2 linked regions of the Daphnia pulex genome follow. The protein of the gene in region 1 purifies or fractionates together with the protein of each later gene. This does not show direct contact. Links are inferred from orthologs where the notes say so. Each region holds a gene or a part of one and is shown on either strand. Other genes may lie near its edges. The genes, in order: protein BCCIP homolog and eukaryotic translation initiation factor 6-like.

Evidence for each region.
Region 2: the proteins of protein BCCIP homolog (region 1) and eukaryotic translation initiation factor 6-like purify together in Homo sapiens (affinity purification with mass spectrometry; 3 studies listed by BioGRID and IntAct, counting the BioPlex papers as one, with this or other methods). This does not show direct contact. The link is inferred for Daphnia pulex from reciprocal best matches to the Homo sapiens genes BCCIP and EIF6.

The regions. Positions count from the first base shown.
Region 1 is NC_060019.1:10,135,483-10,138,899, forward strand, and holds protein BCCIP homolog, read left to right. Parts: upstream 1-1,373; 5' UTR 1,374-1,539; coding exon 1,540-1,824; intron 1,825-1,884; coding exon 1,885-1,983; intron 1,984-2,057; coding exon 2,058-2,221; intron 2,222-2,279; coding exon 2,280-2,451; intron 2,452-2,512; coding exon 2,513-2,680; 3' UTR 2,681-2,701; downstream 2,702-3,417. Other genes in the region: nuclear pore complex protein Nup107-like, read right to left, coding at 1-334, 394-1,173; SRR1-like protein, read right to left, coding at 3,151-3,417. UniProt on the Homo sapiens protein: During interphase, required for microtubule organizing and anchoring activities. During mitosis, required for the organization and stabilization of the spindle pole.
Region 2 is NC_060025.1:5,263,609-5,266,966, forward strand, and holds eukaryotic translation initiation factor 6-like, read right to left. Parts: upstream 1,871-3,358; 5' UTR 1,753-1,870; coding exon 1,646-1,752; intron 1,557-1,645; coding exon 1,471-1,556; intron 1,377-1,470; coding exon 1,252-1,376; intron 1,186-1,251; coding exon 958-1,185; intron 890-957; coding exon 705-889; intron 640-704; coding exon 630-639; 3' UTR 559-629; downstream 1-558. Other genes in the region: integrator complex subunit 4-like, read right to left, coding at 2,156-2,620, 2,698-2,842, 2,907-3,071, 3,137-3,358. UniProt on the Homo sapiens protein: Binds to the 60S ribosomal subunit and prevents its association with the 40S ribosomal subunit to form the 80S initiation complex in the cytoplasm. Behaves as a stimulatory translation initiation factor downstream insulin/growth factors.

The sequences.
Region 1 (3,417 bases):
CTACATCCGTGCGAGATTTCATGTTGGGATCATGAAACAGTTTCCATCCTTCCAAAATTGCAGCCCGAAATGGTTGACCTGCTCGGAAACAGAGCTGCTGGGCTTCATCCAGCTGTCCACAACGGAGTCGAGCAAATACAGAACGAAGCAAACGCATTTCATCTTCTTTGTCAAGTGGGTGAAGACGTCTGTTTTGTTCTCGGTTAGGAGCATCGGGATCCATTTGAGTAACCATATTTTGCTCGACGTTATCTGTACTAAGCCCTCGTTTTTTACTGACCAAAGAATGAAGAGTATTTTCCCAGCCGGCAACCGCATCTCCGTAAAACTCCACCTAATTAGAGTATAATATATTATTTAATAAAAGAAAATTTTAATTACATTAAAAAATACCTGGCTGTAATGGGAATCGTGATAGACATCAGCCGCTCGTTGTTCCAGCCAATCGACTACGAGCTGAGCCTGTCTGATTATGGCATTTTTGTCATAGAGTTGTTTTACCAAGTCATCTTCACTTGTAACATCATCCAATCCACTCCAGATTTCATCAGACTCCATTTCACTGTCATGAAATTCAGAGTTTAAACGATCTTGGTAGAGAGATGCAACCAATCTCCATGTGTCACGCTCAAGTCTCAGTTCTTGCTCCAATTCTTGTGCTTGTGATAGTTTGTTGTGTCCACGAGGGGCCATTTGAATCAATTTTCGCAAAGCAGATACTTGTTCTCCACATTCTGACTCATATTCTGCACACTGATTAAACACTTGATGTTCTGCCCCATATGACTGAAATGTTTTGAGGAATCTCTCAAATAGTTCTAAGACATTTTCTACTCCTGGAACTTCTTCTTCTAGAAGGATGCTCATGAGTTCTTCATTTCGTTTCTTTCGTGATACATTGCTCACTGTTAAGTCTGCTCTTGTCGAATCCAGATTTTTCCTTTGTAAACCAGCACCAATTCTCGTAAATGTAGGATCACTTTCGAAAATAGTGTGGCTAAGATCATCAGACATAAAAGACATTGTATTATGTCGGTTAGGAGAAGGGAGGCAACTGGCCCCCAACATGTCTGATGTCTTTTCGAGTGAGTGCTTTATTCTTCGACCAGGAAGATTTAGTTTGCCAGTAACAGTTGAGTTAGAACCGGCAATAATTGGAGATTGAAACTCCATTGTGCTTATTTTAAAAAGATACAATAAAATTCACTGTCTTATAAAGAAGAAGTTTGAAGGTTTGAAGTTTTCCGTTTTTCGTTTTATTGTAACGTAGCAGACTAAGTAAAAGGGCGTTGCAATTCACGTTCAAAGTTTTATTCATTAAAATAATTATAATTAATTGAAATTGAAATAGTAATGATTTGATTTTTATAATTGTTATAATATTTAATACAATTTTATTCTATTTTTTAACTCAATTTTTAAGATTTTATTTCAAACAATTTGAATGTTCACTTCACTTCCTTCCTACCCCTTCCTAGCAGACAAACTTAAGTTTGTTTTTGACTTTTTGACACGTGTGAAAAATTGTCTTTAAAAATCATGGCGAATTTCAATACTAAACGGCCTATGGAAGAAGATAGCAGCGATTCTTCAGAGGAAGAAGAAGAAGAAAATGATTCTCAAGATGAAGAAATGGGTGAAGATGAGCAACTTGGAGAGAACGACCGAGAGATTCAAGTCGACTTTGAAGGTCAATCACCAATCGCTGAAGATTTTCACGGTATCAAGAGTCTAATGCATCAGCTTTTCCTAAAGGCTCATATTAATTTAAGTGGTCTGACGGAACTCATCATTCAGCAAAACTACATTGGAAGTATATTACAGGTAATAAAATCTTGTGAAGATGTAATTTGTGTACTTTACTAAAGATATCTACTTCTTCAGCAATGTGTGGATAATGATGAACCTGATAGTGATGATGAAGGAAATTCTCTTGATGAAGTTTTTGGAATTACTTCTGTAATTAACTTGACACATCACAAGGTGAGATAAAATTTTGAATTTGTGTTACACAAATTACAATTAACCCAATTTTTTTTGTTATTTACTTTTCCTAGGATGTGGAATGTATTAAAGAAGTAAAAAAGTACCTGTTGGAAAAAACACAGAAGAAACTGAGTGGATTGTTTGATGATCCATCTAACCAGATAGGACTTATATTCAATGAAAGGTTCATAAACATACCACCTCAAGTTTCTGTTCCCCTACTGGAAAATCTATGGTATACAAGACTTAATTTGAATTATATCCCAAGTTTAAATGTAAAATTTTGTTAATAGTAAGGAGATTGATGAAGCAAAAAAATCTGGAAAGCCTTTTGACTTTACACACTTCATTTTAATTTCCAAACTTCATGAATCTACAAGAAAAGATCCTGAATCAAGGAAAAAAAAAGTCAAAGGAGGAGCCACCATATTATGGGTTAATGCAGAAGAAGAACCAATTTCAGAGGTATTCATCTATTAATTCCACGCCTAAGTAGAGTAGGTTGTAATAAAATTTCGTCAAATAGATGGGTGAAATATTAGGAGAATATTCTGTACGAAGCGAGTCAGATGCAGCAGTTTCCGGGACATGGGACGAAGATGACGAACAATTCGATCCGAAAAGAAGGATAGTCCTTATTACCGCAAAGCAGCTGCCTGAGGTGTTGATTAAAATTAAAGAATTCCTCGAATGAATAAAATTCATGTTTTCTGTTTGTTTTAGTTATTATTACCAATAACTTAAAAAATCTATTAATTGCATTTATTATTCCTTTCAACTACATCGGTATACACAATCTATTTGGGATCATGGGGTAATTTGAATCCAACCATGTCAGCCGTGCTACGCACTGTGCGTTCACCTGAAAGAGAAAAAAGGATTGATATTTTGTATACAACTTCGTTTTGAATAACTGTGTCAAACCTTGGCCGTGAAATTCTTGTATCAGCGATGCAGCCTTTCTTGAACTTTTCAAATAGCAAAGGTACGTATCAGCCATGTATTTACTTTCTTGTTGGGCTTTGCATGTTTGCTCAGCAGTGACCTGATTTCGGCGAAAATTCTTTGAGATAAATTGATATGCTGGCGATTCCCAGAGAGAATTATGACTATGGTTGGTTAGTCGGAGCTCGCGAATCAATTCTCTGAGCAAAGTTTTGGCGCTCATTTTTCACTAATTAGCTCAGTCTCAGCAGCAGGGTATGTAGGTTCAGGCGATTCCCAAAACGATGAATGAACACTGTAGATTAGTTCGCTGGGGAAATGGTGGAGACTAAGATCGTTGAAAATGTCGGGAAACCGGAAGTTGTTGGGCACAGCTAGTTCCTCGACGATTTCTATAGATCGATGAAGATAATGATAGCTCTTCAAGAAACGATCGGGAGTGTCGAGTCGAATTTTTTCGAAACTGTTGGCGTAAAGAATACAATT
Region 2 (3,358 bases), on another chromosome or scaffold:
CCGTGGTATTTCAGGTCGACCTCGCATGGAGGTCAAGCTTGGGTTTTTCCCTGTTGAGAGATAGCAACTGCTTTCTCCTCTATACTCCTCCCTGGCTTGACCTTGCTGAATCGATGGCAACGAAGGTCGCTGATTTCCGTCAGTCAATGACCAGTGCTGCTATCGCTCTAGCCGATTCTTTACACGTCGAATCGGTACATCACTAAACTTAAGTTCTATTATAATTTCACTCTGGTATTTTTTTAAGCTTAAGTTATTCTTAGAATTTGATTTTCAAATTAAGCAATCTTGGTAATGCTCCATTCTAACCCTGTATCAAGGTTAGGATTATTGTACTTATAAATAAACAATATCGAGCAATTACGCAAAGTTCATTTGTTTAAACTAGGAACTACTTAAAGCCTGTATTAATTTACCAGTTATATTTCTAGTTACAACAGATTTTCAAATAATATGCAACTTTTATTTCTGTAGTCTACATCAACTTATTTCTGTAGCTACATCATCAGCACAGTAAAAAAGAACTTGTGGGTATTTTCAGTAAATATAAAAATGACATTTTCCAAAACTTGTTTATTCAACCGTTCTGATACATAATTTTTGGGTATCCCTTTTGCAATTTTTCCGAATTATGTCAGCCTATCAAAATTGAAAAAATTAATTCAACTGTTCCAATAAAAAACATTATATAGAATTAGTCTTACGTCTCAATTAGCGACTCTCTCATGTCTGTGGTAATGACGCTGGGTTGATTTGCTTCATTCAAACGGAAAACATTTTCAATAACGGAAATCTCCGTGGCTGTGGTGTCGAATCCGCAAAAAGCCGACCAATCATTCACTACTAAGCCGGCACCAATTACATCACTACCTCTGTTAACTGTCCCTGCCTGTAAAATGAAAAACACCTTATTGTTTATATGTGAACTTTGTCTTCTTTACATGTTCTAATGCTTACCACTAGAGGCACCTGCAGAAGAGAGCTGAGTTCATCTTGATCTGCCACAGTTGTTTTTGGATGGACAATACCACCCTGGTTAGAAAAAGCGCAATATGAACCAGTAAGGACAGAGCCAGCAATTGTATGACGGAAGACTTCAACATTTAAGGTATCTGCAAGAACTTCCTCTGTTTCTTTATCTAAATCTGGATGTACCAATGCAACATAATCATTGCATGCAATAACCTGTGAAATGCACAAATGATGAATTAGTAATCTTCATTAATTGATTGGCTAATGGGATTGACTAACATTTCCTAAAGCAGACAGACGTTCTTCAACACGCTGGATTTTGACAGAATCTGGTAAAGAGTTGCGAATATGTTGCAATTCCTGATCTGTAGTACTGTTTGGCAGCAGTAGACCATGCCTGTTAGCTGTTGAAAAGTAATATTTACGAAAATAACATAATTTATTTTTCAATATCTTCAAGAGACCCACTGTCAACTTTTGTATGAAGGGAAAACTCACCAACTGTCAACCGTCCAATTATCCTGCAGCCAGCAACTGATGTGTGAATTACTGGAATAGTGTCAGACAACTCTGATTCGAAAACACTGTAACATGAATCAAATGCAGCATGATAAATCACGAGAAATCCTATTGAAGATTTTTTAGAAAAAGACGCATGACACGTATATTTTACCTGTAGAAATTTTCTGATCCACCGATGGCAACCAAGCAATAAGCGTTGGTCAGTTTTGCAAAAACACCGACTTCATTGTTATTTTCAAATTGAACGCGAACTGCCATGATGAAAGTATTTCGTCAAACTAAACGATAAAGTAGTAGCGATGTGCGTGAGAGAAGTAATAGACGAACACTTAGTTTCACACGTGGGACGAGCGGGTACGAGAAGCAAGAGAGACGGATCTTAAATATCGATACATGTACGAACTGTGTAACTATCGATATAAACGTTTTTGTCGGTAGGGGATTTTTTTTAAAAAAAAGCACAACATTTTGAAAATCACAAAGCTCGATTGTCGATTCTTACTTGATTTTGTACTATACCTAAAAATTAAATAAAGGGTGAAAGAATTGACACTGACAATTTTGAGAATAGAAGGAACAAACCAAATTCAGTAGTTAATTGTAGTAATATGTATTTTCCGTACAATTTCGTTCATGGTTCCAACAATCTCACATTTAAAATTCATATTCCTCGCTTGATTGGCTTAGGAGATACAAGAACTCGTACAGGTTTACATAGTTCAATAATAAATGAGTCTTCTGAGAAACCTCGCCATCTTTTTAAAGCAGAAGGAACCTCGGGATCAGTAACATCCAAAACCAAAGAAAGTTCAATATGCGATGATTCTGTCCACACTTGATGTGATACCAAAACAGATGTTCGCAAACGGTGATCAGGAACGGAAATAATATTCTCACTCGAATCATTTTTAGGATAGTGTTTGATCATCTTCAGATGCGACTCTTGTGGTATAATTAGCTGAGCATTAAGATCGGGATATTTCACACGGACTCGCAAATACTCTGAATGAGCAAGTCCTTGAATTTCGGCGTCTAAAACCACTCCCAATACGAAGCCTGCCAGGAACTTCTGCGGATTATCCGATTCACCAGACGGTTCTAAAATGTCAGCGCTCAATTTAAAAGCCTAACAAGCAATAATAAATTGAAAATATTACCAAGTAAGGTACATTGATATTTCATAAATATATTTAAATAAATTACCTTGGCAGGCAGGCAGAATGGGGCAACATAAATATGAGCTTGAAGGATTGGAAGCAATATTCGCGACAATACACCTGGTTTAGTATCATCTACTCGTGCAATTTCCTTCACAATCGCTCCAGCAAAAGAAGGTAAATTTCCATATCTACAACAACTTGATTAATTAAATCTTATTTTTTTTAATCGAAGTTAAACGAAAAAGAAATTACCCTTTCAATGCTTCGACACGGGAAACGAAATGGTCTGATAAAGCCAACGCGGATGTGTTACTAGCTCTTACAATGTATACCAGCTGAATCGCCATAGCTTGTAGACGTGTGCTCTGAATGAGTAGCATTTCTTCAGTGGATAAATTACTGAACATGTACTGGAGTCTAAAATGAGAAAATGAGTAAATTTTGTTTACTCCTTCAATTAATGTAACATTAAATCTAATTACCTAAGACTTCGTCTCTGTAACTGGTCAATTAGATTTTTCACTACATCACCGTCTTGTACGTTTAAACTCGAAGAATCAATCCACGCTGGACTATTCATAACTTTTGCAATTAGAATATGGCATTCTAACTGTGTGGCTAACAGTTCTACACCATGTGCCAAGCTGCTATCGATTTGAGCCAAGCGAATCAAATCATGACATGCCGCATCCCACACTTTGATC